Caenorhabditis elegans: one gene and its partners. The protein of the gene in region 2 purifies or fractionates together with the protein of the main gene of each other region. This does not show direct contact. Each region holds a gene or a part of one and is shown on either strand. Other genes may lie near its edges. The genes, in order: madd-4, unc-5 and unc-129.

What was found.
Region 1: the proteins of unc-5 (region 2) and madd-4 purify together in Caenorhabditis elegans (affinity purification with western blotting, with the first as the bait; one study listed by BioGRID). This does not show direct contact.
Region 3: the proteins of unc-5 (region 2) and unc-129 purify together in Caenorhabditis elegans (affinity purification with western blotting, with the first as the bait; one study listed by BioGRID). This does not show direct contact.

The regions. Positions count from the first base shown.
Region 1 is NC_003279.8:8,940,528-8,944,281, reverse strand, and holds the start of madd-4 (Protein madd-4), read left to right. Parts: upstream 1-1,994; 5' UTR 1,995-2,077; coding exon 2,078-2,191; intron 2,192-2,233; coding exon 2,234-2,395; intron 2,396-2,931; coding exon 2,932-3,048; intron 3,049-3,094; coding exon 3,095-3,206; intron 3,207-3,256; coding exon 3,257-3,458; intron 3,459-3,714; coding exon 3,715-3,720; intron 3,721-3,754. UniProt on the Caenorhabditis elegans protein: Component of an extracellular matrix cue that is involved in the guidance of dorsoventral midline migrations and in the specification of postsynaptic domains at neuromuscular junctions (NMJs).
Region 2 is NC_003282.8:5,526,362-5,530,115, forward strand, and holds the start of unc-5 (Netrin receptor unc-5), read right to left. Parts: upstream 1,978-3,754; coding exon 1,896-1,977; intron 1,565-1,895; exon of another isoform or gene 1,544-1,564; intron 1,280-1,543; exon of another isoform or gene 1,259-1,279; intron 342-1,258; exon of another isoform or gene 321-341; intron 9-320; exon of another isoform or gene 1-8. UniProt on the Caenorhabditis elegans protein: Receptor for netrin (unc-6) required for axon guidance. Mediates axon repulsion of neuronal growth cones in the developing nervous system upon ligand binding.
Region 3 is NC_003282.8:9,003,691-9,007,444, forward strand, and holds the start of unc-129 (BMP-like protein unc-129), read right to left. Parts: upstream 1,721-3,754; 5' UTR 1,696-1,720; coding exon 1,572-1,695; intron 1,392-1,571; coding exon 1,330-1,391; intron 911-1,329; coding exon 167-910; intron 1-166. UniProt on the Caenorhabditis elegans protein: Required for the migration of axonal growth-cones and distal tip cells (DTC) along the dorsal-ventral axis of the body wall. Acts cell nonautonomously and independently of the classical daf-4, sma-6 or daf-1 TGFbeta receptor signaling.

The DNA of each region.
Region 1 (3,754 bases), on a different chromosome or scaffold from region 2:
CCGTTTCCTTGTTTTTTAAAATTTATCCAGATATGTTTATGAAATTTAAAGTATTTTATGATCCAGGTCGATTTTAGACAATTTTCTAATCGACGTCGACGTATGCCGAAGCTGGGGGTACCTGCGTCGATTAGCCTGACTTCGGCGTCGATCAGAATAGATTTACCAGAGTTTAGTGAGAAATGTGTTTATGTTTTCATAAAAACCCAAAATTCAGACGTCAGAATTCAAAAACCTTCCCCTTCAAATTTTAAAAGAAAATGAGTTGTAGTCGCAGAATATGTTACCTGAAAAGAAGTAGGGGTGACTCTATTGTCTTTATTTCTTTTTTCTTTTTACAATTTTTCATTCTCACTTTTTTTTTACTTTTCAAGTTTGTTCAATAGTCTTCTGCAAAAATATTTCAGTTATAATAGTTGTGTTTTCCAAAAAATTAGTTCAATTCTTTTTTTTTGCAGTTCTTCTTTGTTTTTCCAGTCATGTCCTCATTCCATAAATCCCATTGGTCGTCGATTTCCCATTTTGAATTGCCCCTAGTTTTCCGATTTACTGCATTTTTCAAAAAAAAAGAAAAAAAAACGTTTACTATTGAATACCTATGCCTGGTTGAAAGAATGGGTTTTGTCAGACACTGGTTAACCTTTGCTCAGCTCTTTTTTTGAAGTTTGTAGTTATCGTTTTTGGAGTTTTTATTACAACCTGGTATCATGAATATTTTTTCTCTTCCATTTTCATTTTTCCTTCCCAAGTGTGCTGCCCGAGTCTATTGGAAGTCAGAATACCAACGTGTTCCTTGACACTTTTTGATTTGATTTCCACATTTTTTCCTACATTCTCCTCTTCTTTTGGCTTTTCTTCTCTCCTGAGCAACGAAGTTTAACCATTGCAATATTTGTAACTTTCATATAATAAGTAGTGGAGTTTTTGAATTGATTAAAAAGTTTTTGAATTGATTTGCATCATGGTCTAAACGAATAAAACTTCTCCAAGAGACTCCTCAAAAAGCTTTCAATAACGTAGTTGTTGTTCAAAATTAAAAAAAAATTACAAAACTTGTGTTCCATCGACTAAGATGGTACCTAAATTCCAAAAAAAAAAACGAGTAATAAATTACTAAACTGGAAAATTTGGCATATATTCCAGGTAAATTTAGCCTGTTTCTTTCAGATAATTTTGAGTACATTGAATAAATTTTGTTACTACCTCTATCCCGGCTCGCCATTCGCCTTGTTGCTTCCTATCAAAAACTTTTGTCTAGGAGTTACTCAACACGACTTATCAATGAATTGCTAATTTTAGAAATAATTACTAAAAAATGTTGGAATGGGTTGAGAAACCACATGTTCATAGGAGAGTAAATTTCTACGAATTCAAACTAATTTTGCCAAATATTTATTGTAATTTCTTGCTTTTTTTTGTTGATTGTTGGCCCACTTACTTAGTTTACGTTAATGTTTTTTTTCTCTACAGCTACTCTTTTTAATTAAATTTCTTTTTGTTTTAATCAGAGGTAAAGTGCTATAATTTGGCTCAACCAACTCACAGGTGATTCGCGGGTTTTAAAATACTTATGAAATGTAGTTCGCGCGCTTCTACAAGAGGCACCAGCGATATAGTAAAATACTTGCAAAATCGCAAATATTGTGCAAATTGCGATCACCGAGAGTCGCGATTACCAAAATACTGCTAAAATGTTAATGGTCCCGCGGCGAAATTCGCGATTTGCAAAATGCATCTAAAATATTGGAGGTCATAAGTATTTTACAAACGGCGAATCACCTGTGCTATTGTAAAGTGGAAAACTTCTATAACTATTTCTTCGAACCCTCTAATTTTCCTATCCAAAAAATAGTTGAAGCCCACATAAATCTTTTAATACATTTATCTCTATTTCATTCTTTCTCTTCTAACTGGTAATTTGAAATTCGAATATTTTCTTCAAGTTCCGGCATCTGTATATTTTCTTTTTATAAAACTTCCAAAAAAATATTTGCAGCCAAGGACAATTCAAGCGTTTGTTAATTTTTACACAAAAAAAGGAAAAAAAACAATGAAACAAAGTGTAAAATGAATGAAAATGAAGTGTTCATATACCGTAGTATTTTTACTATTTTACTTGCTTATTGCGAGTTTCCACGTGGATGCTCTTAGTTGGGCGGCATGGAGTCCTTGGAGTTCGTGTACTAAAACGGTAATCGGACAGAGAAGCTATTCAGAAAAAAAAAATTTTCAGTGTGGTGGCGGAGTTTCTCGTCAGTTACGACGTTGTTTGACATCAAAATGCTCAGGAGAATCAGTTCGATTCAAAGTTTGTGCTCAAAAAACTTGCGAGTCAAAATCTAGATTAGCTAGGGATACAATATGTGGAGGAGAGGAAATAGTCTCCAGGGGACAGGTATGTATGAACCACTTTCAAAATAATGTTTTCTTGTGAAGAAACATTTATTTAAAAAAAGTTTTTGTAGTAGTAGTCAAAAAATAATTTGGACAAATGTACCGAATAACCAAAAACGCAAAAACGTTCAGCCCTGCAGCAAGAGTGTTGTTTTTTCGATTTCTCAATTTTTTATGAATGTCGAAAAAAAAATTTCGGATTCTCAAACTATTAATTTTTTAACGGTCTAAATTTCAATAATATCCACATATCATGATACATAACATTCTAACAATTTTGTAAAAGTTGTGGTAAATTTCCAAATTTTCCAAAAATGTGGACTTCCTGAGAAATTTCGAGTTGTACTGCAGGTTTGAATCCCTAGAGTGTTTAAATATAAACAATCTTTAAAAAATGCGGAAAACTGAGTTTTCAAGTGTAGATTTAAAAAAGCCAAATAATTGTTGAAAAGTTTGAATTTTTTTTGAAAAGTTTGTGAATCATACATGAACAGTTTTCAAGCACCTATAAGTGAAAAAATAAGAACTAAAATTCAGTGCGAAGTGGTATGCCGATCACGCTTAACTGGTGCAAATTTTCTTTGGAGAGTTGATGATGGAACGCCGTGTCAGGCCGCAACAAGTAGAGCTGTCTGCAGTAAAGGGTCTTGTCAGGTTACTAAATATAATTGTTTTAATTATTATTTTCCCCAAATTTCAGATCGTTGGCTGTGACGGATTGATTAGTTCATCTTTTCGATTTGATGCCTGTGGAGTATGTGGAGGACGAGGGGATACGTGTGACAATGGAAAGTTCATTTGGAAAGTTTCCGGTAGAATTTTAAAGATTTACAACAATCACTCAAAACACTAAGATTTCCAGAAGAATACACTGCATGCGCTTCAAATTGTGATGATATAGTTGACTGGTCAGGTGCTGGACGTTCAATTGCTTCAACTAGTCAACCAATTGTTGTATGTGTAAATGCAATAACTGGAAGAGTTGTTCCTGAAAAGTTATGTGCTGATAAATTGAGACCGAAAGTTGAAGCAAGACCATGCCCAATGCTGATTTGCCCTTCAAGGTTTGAAATTTTAAATTATTTTATATTTATGCTTAAGTGCATAGTTTCGTAAATAGTTTTAAATTCTAGTTGTTGTCTGTACTTTTTGAAAAGCACAAACCTCTAAAAAACAAAAAACCGAACTCAAATTTCTGTTAACTTTTGTATTTTAATAATTTGAATTGTTTTTGAATATCCAATTTCCTTTTTCAAGAAATATTCTTTATATCGTTTCCTAAATTAGATTTGCTAATTTGATTTTAATTAATAATTTCAGATGCCGGTGAGTTTTTCCAAAAAGATCCCAAATCAGGGTG
Region 2 (3,754 bases):
GGTTTGTACTAGTTAAAATAATTGTTGCTTTAAATTTATATTTCACTTTTGTTTCGAACGCCGGATGACGTTTAAAACTTCTAGACCATCAAAGTATGTATATTTCCGCCATAAATTAAAAAATCCTGCATAAGAAAGCCAGGCGCGGCCAGCTTGAAGGTAGGCAGGCACTCAGAATTTGCCTTCGTGAGATAGTCCTTCTAAAAATCCGTGCTATCGCGGGAATATAAATTTTGATAAGAAAATTTGAAAAAAAAATTTCAAATTTTTTACAGTTTCATCTATCTTATATATATTGTAACGATACTCGTATTTATTAGTATAATCTTTATTTTTATCGCGGCTGGACCTCACTATCAGATTATAAACTGAAATTTTATCGCAACCAGTGTCATAATACAAACTATGTGAAAACAGGTGACACCACTCCCGTTCACCCATTAACCTCTCCCAATTTTACAACATCTATCAACTGGAGAATCTATGAGCCATAAAGTAAACTAATGCGTAAGTAAAATATTCTGTTTACACATGTCAACAGTTTAATAAAGCAACAACATATATTTTCGTTCTGATTGACATTTGACATTAAGGTATACCTGTGGGGGAATGTACGGGGGGTCCATCAAAAAGAGAATACCGCTCCCCCCCCCCCCTCCAGGTACGTCGTCATCATCATTGACTCAGGAAACGTTACAACAATATCATTTGGCGGCAAAAATCATCGGACCTAGTCATCCGTGGTGTGAATGGGTGATGATTGGAGAAGAGGGGAAAGAGGTGAGCACACACACAAAAAAACAACAGAAGAAGAAGAAGAAGCAACTGGTGGTGGTGGTGAAAAGAGTTCTGGCGAGAATTGGGATTAAGTGGCGGCACGTGTGTCTTTGGAGATGGGACACCTTCTCAAAGGTTCAATGATGTATGAGTGAGTGGGAAACGGAAGAAATTGGAGAAAGGGACTAACTGAAGTAAGGTAGAGAATGCCTGCCTGTTTCTGTGCCTACTTATAGTTTTATGATGAGTCGCAAGACCTAGATACTGTCGGCTGCTAGTGAACTCATGTTTGATTTTATGAAAGAGCAAAATAAAAATGGATATTCAAAAGGCAGGTAGACGTTAGGCAAATTAAAACGCCTGCCTGCCATCAATGAAAGCGCTAGAGTATATTATGACTGCTTGATCAAATTTTTCTTGAAATGTTAATTTTTAGAAATATTGACTAAACTTTAATTTGTTAACTTTTCCGTTATATTCCCAATTTTAAGGAGAGGTGTGATTGATAACGTTTCATAGATCAGACTTTATTAAAATTGTGAAAATGTATAGAATCTCTGCAAAATTCACGTGATTTTTAAATGTTACAACCAAAGATAATTTTGAGGTAAGTTTTAAAGTAACGTTATTGTTTCAAGAAATGTTTTTATAAAAAAACACAGAAGGCAGTCTGCAAAGCGAGAGAGTCTGCCTCCTCGTCGGAGGGAATTTTTACTTTGGGAAAACAGTTCAGAATTTTTTGCAAAACTATATAAACATTTTATAAATGTTTTTTTAACAAACGCAATCACATCACAAGGAAATTTAAAATACTTATACAATTTCTGAAACAGTAATTTTTTTCAAATTTTTTAAATGTTCAAACCGTGGCCATACAGATACCAAAAGTAAAACAAATCTAGTATTTACTGACAAATCATCAAAAAAAAGTGTCATAGCTCCTTGAAACTAACACCAAACAATTCACTGACCCCTCTTAATACTTCCTAATATTTACCCCCGTTACCCCCTGCCGGGGGCACCCATTGGCATATTTTCTAAACAAAGAAAAGATAGTCCTTAACTTTTTTATAAGTAGGATAAAATAAGAGGGATTAATTCAAAAATCAGAAACTCACTTGATTTGTAGTCCAAGAAATAATCGCTGTATGCTGCATCTCCATTGGAATCTGAACTCACATCGGGCGTGTCGTCCTCCATCTGTAGAATTTCAAATTTTCAAATTAAAAGGAAAAACTGATGGAAAGAATAAAAATCAAAATGAAAAAATTGTGGAGGTCCCGTGAAGAAATAAAAAAGGTTTTTGTGAGCACGGAAGACATGTGAACAAGAGGAAGAGAGAGCGGCGATTCTTGTAATAAAAACCAGATGTTAAAGAAAGGATAAAGGTCCGAAAAATACAAATTGGACAACCAACCAGACCACAGACAGAGTTCAATGTTTTCTAGATTTGGGTTGGAAAAAATAGTGAACTTTTCTGTCTGTAAACTTAGTAATTATAGATTTTTTTCACTTTCTAAACTGATTTTTTTTCAATGATCCAAAATTATTTCTTATTTAAAAAATGGAACGAAAAACCACAGAACATCAAAACTTATTTGAAATTACATTTTGAAAAAAAACATGGTGAAACAGTCAACTTTTTAATTTAATTACAATATAGGGGTTACAATTGTTGACATACGACTATGGTCTTGAAGTTGCATTAAATAAAGTGAATCTACTGAAACAGACAAATAAATTTTATAAATTTCAACTATCTAGAAAAAAGTTTTAGATAACTTTTTCGTGATGTTTCGTGCTGATATGTAAACTCCTTGCTGCTCAAAAAACTGTAAAAATCTGTTTGCAATGTTATTACACTTCACCTACAGAGACATTTTTGTATTTTCTCATAGAAAACTTATTTGACTTTTTTACAATCATAGAACACTCAAGAATTTGTTTTCGGATTAAATACAAAGGTATCATACGAGGCAATGTCGGAGAAAAATCTGAATTTAAAAGAAGCCTTACTGAAACTGTAACAATATTTTGTGCTTCAAGAAACTAAATTCTCAAACAAATAGGAGGTTATTGGAATTTTAAACGAACTTAAAAAAAGGGAGTTGATTTTTTTTCTTCAATTTGCACACTTTGGTTTAGTTTGAATATAATCAGGATACAGAAAAAATTGATTTTGATGAAAAAAAATCATCCAGAGAAAATTTGATCCAGTAAAAACATGTTTCATAGTTTTGATGAATTTTATATAATTTCACAGTTGTATTAGAATTGGAATAATACCCGTTCAATTATTGAAGAATTTTGAATTTGATAAATATTCAGACCAACTTTTTCTTACATGGAACTCATAAGCTTTATTGTCTCAATAACAATAATGGATTCAATAAAACAAAAATACTCTTAATTCACAAAAGATCCAATTGAAACTGTAAAAAAAATGTGTGCTTCATCTTCAGTGATTGAATTCTGAAGGAATAGAAAATAGTGGAAATTAAGACAACAAAGCATGGAATCTGAAAAAATGGAAAATTTTTCTAAAAACATTTTTTAGAGATCATTATATGGGGAGTGGTAATTTGAATTCCATTGTTACGCAGATTCTAGAAAAGTCGTCTTTGAAAATACTTACTATTCACTAGAGATGTTAGCTAGAGAACAATTTTTTCTGTAAAAGCCTGTTTCATTATTTTGATAAATAAACCATGATTTTTGAAATGTTAGTGACATCTGAACATTTCTTTTTTAAAAAAATTACTGTTTCAAAGTCAAATGTTATAATTTTATTAAACTTTCAATGTTAATCGTCCTATGTGTCAAGCAGAGCAAGATTATGTGAGAAATTGTGAGAAAATATAATATTTGAGCAAGTGAATGAAAAGAGTACCGCCTAACTCAAAAACTTGAAATTAACATAATAAAGAGAAATTCTCGTGGTAAAGGCGGGAGATTCCCTGAAGGGTTACTGTAGGTT
Region 3 (3,754 bases), 3.5 Mb from region 2:
ATTTTATGAGGTGTTTGTTGGATGAATGAGATAGATTACGGTGGAAATACTGATTGGATGCCAACTTTTGAGATATCAGATTATCAGAAAAGTTTAAAGAAAGCAAATTTACAATGTTTATATTGTTCTACGGTTCTGTTATAAAATAGAAACTGTATTAACTTACATTTTTATTTTGCAAAAGCACAACTCGAACATCATTAGCCAGTTCTTCATTTGCAATTCTTTCTCTTTCTTCTCTTGAAGTCTCTTCTCCAAAACCTTGCCAAACATCTTCTGATGAAATTTCCTCAGATAAACTGTTCTTTTTTCCATTCTTTCTCTTTATTGGCTCACGATCATCATTATCCAATGGAATCGAGTTATAATTATAATATTCTCTCAATTCTTCATTTCCCAAATCTCTTCTCTTTCTTTTTGTCTGTTCAGTTTGTTTCATAACTGATACAGTATCCAGAGTATGATTAACTTTAGAATAAATCACAAGGAATGGTGTACTTTTTCGAATCATTTCAGCATAAGGTCTCATCTTTGAATGTTCTCTTGTAATACGAAATACTGCTTGCTTTGCATCCAAATGATATGAATCGAAAACTGATTTTGTTGCATCCCAAATAACTTTATATTCTTCCAAATTCTCATCTCCTCCAACTCGAATCTTTTTCAAGGTCTGTTGCCTACAGTACTCATTCACACAAACCGACTTTGCCCGAATTTGACGAGATCGTCTTCTTGCAAATGAATCTCGTCTTCTGAGGTAGAAATGTAACTCTGCACGCATAATGGATTCATGGGAATCAAATCCTTCAACATCAAACACCAAGACTTCCTGTCCCTCGAATTTTCCAACTGCCGGCTCAATGGCACGTACCAGATTACCATCTTCATTCGAGTCTTCGTCAATGAAATTCTGAAATAATGAATTTATAAAAATGATGTTTTTCAGAAAGGTGAAGAAATTTACTAAAATTTACTGAAACATTCATTATAATTTTTGCATACGCACGCACTGGCATACGCACAAACTGACAAAATTATTTCTGTTCACATGTTTCGCTGACTAAGAACAAAACACACACAGGGCTGAAGGGAACCGAGATTTTAGCTGAAATTTCGGCAACTTTCCGGCAATTTGGTTGCACAGCCCTAGTGCACGGGTATTTGAACAGGAAGAAATCGAATGAATCCGACTTGAAAACTTACAGAAAAACCATCTCAACAAAGAATTATGTTTCCGGATTCTCGCAAATTTATTTAACCGGGCACATTTTAAAAAATGAATTAGAAAAACAATTATTTGAAATTATAATAATAGTACAAAACACTCACTTCATAAAGATTTTTCATATGCTCGGTGAGAGTGTGTGATGATCGGTGGAATGAGGTAACGTCTGAAAGTTGTTTAAATTTTTTAGATTCATTTTCGCTTCAACATCAAACTTGAGGGAAATTGTGTTAACTGTTTATTACTGTTTTGATTTAACTCATTTGAGCAACATTTTCCTTTCAGAGGTCTAATGCATTTCAGAAGCTCAAATATGACAATTATTTTTCAAAATAAAATAACTCACTTGGATCTGAACTTTTAAAATGAAGAAGATCTCGAATGGTTTCATTAATAAGATCCACGTCCACCTTTGCACAGTTGGCTATAGAAAAAACCGAAAGCAATAAGACAATCGGAAGTCGCCTCATTTTCTTGCTTGCTCTTCCAATTTTCCTGAAACAATTTTTTATAGTGAAGCTTGAGATCAAATTCAAAGAGGAATTTCAGAATTTGGGATCAAACAAATAAGATGCGGAGTTTCTCAAATAGTATTAAGTTTCCGGAAAAGAAAAAGCAAGCAAAAATTGGAAAGTTCAAGTTCCCATATCGGTGACCACATGCAAACAAAAAAAAACGAAACATGTCCCTGAATTCTTCGTGTGACATGACATTGCTCTCTGGAGAGCTAATAGACGAATAGAGGAACCGGCAAAGGTGACATGTCAAACTGAGAAAACGACAAATTTTTGAGATATTCGACGCTTGGGAATATATATTCTAAAATTTCGCAATTTGGGAATGTTGGACTGTGAATCGTTCCCTGCGAGACACGAATTTGGAAAATTGAAAAAGAATCAAAAATTGCATCAAACTTTTGGGAACATGGAATACACATAAAAAAACAAAAATGATATGTAAAGGATGTAATCCATGTTTCTTATTTTCATGTAAATTTCCGGTTAAGGAAAATTCAGTTTGGTGAATTTTAGAACAAAGAAAAGGAAAAGTGGATGACATGCTCAGTGAACCAAATTTTAATTGATTCTTATCTTCAAACAGTCGAACACCTGAAAAGCTATAATAGAAGATGAGTTGTATGGAAATTGAAATTTGAAATGGAAAAAGAAGAAAAGTGGTGATATTTTCTAAAGGACATGAAGAAAATCTTCCGAAAATCCGCATTGGTTTCCTTGGCAATATAAGGAACGGCAGGAAAACCAGAGAGAAGCAACGTGCGTTCATCAATTCGAACAAAGAAGAATGAAACGCAAAAAGAGTAATAAAAATGAATAACGAGAAAATTATTGGCTTCTTCTTTTACAAACAAAGTTTTGCATTTGGTAGTGGCCGCCGGGCGCCGATGAGATTGACACAGAAGTATTAATTGGAGGACATCCCAAACATAGTGCCAATAGAACATGTATATGTGACATGATAATGAGATGGATTTTTTGCCGGATTTTTCAGGAAGATTTTGGTACTTTCAGTGGGGATTTTAAATTTTGTGAATTCATTGATGAAAAATGTCTACCATAAAATGGAAAATTGTTTTACGAAACATGGCAAAAGTTTGCGAAAAAATAGATTGTCGAGCTCGGCTAATTCGGCAAATGTTTTGCTGATAATTACGAGCACGGCAATCCCAGTAAATCAAAATGCATTTTTTTAAATTTGGAACTTAAAAATTACAGAATGAACGGAAAGCTTGTTACTCGAGTTTTCTAAATGTTTCATGATTTTCTTGAAAAAAATTGAAAAAAATCCAAATTTGTATGCTATTTCATTTATTTTTTAAAATAAAATCATTAGGTTTAGTCGAAAATTTTTTCAACAATTTTTAGTGTGAACGGTAACCTTTAAAACTGGTCAAGCTCGGTGAATTCGGTAAGTCTACATTTTTAAATGTACAAAAAAATTAGGCAGAGTAAATTGTTTCCAAAAATCTTAATCCACGTTAAAAACAGGTGGTAATCCGTGTTTTTTATGAAGGACATTCCAGAAACAAAGACAACGAATTAACCTTGCCACCGAAAGCATCCGCGCGTATTTCTTCTGTCCAATATGTTTCAAATTACCTCATTACGGTAATTATCGACCATCTTCTTCTTCCGCAATCCGAAAATCCGTAAAAAAGAGGGAAGATGGAAGGAAGACATAATAAAAATACAAAGAAGAACGGTACATGCCAAAAGAGGTAAAAAGACATGCATGTTTATGGCGGAGGTTGATGATGATACAATTATTATGTACATATACAAAAAGGCGATGTAAAGGTCAGATAAGGAAAGCGGCAGACGGAGGGCAAATATGATGGACGGCATATTAACACCTGTGCTTAAAAAGAGCAGAATAAGGTCAGAGGTGATAATTATGTTGAACAATGGGAATGAGGAGAAACTAAGAAGTTGATGGGAACATGTTGATAAGGAAAAAACTCATTACGGAACTTCTGTGATAACTTTTCTTGAATATAAAAAATAACTGCAT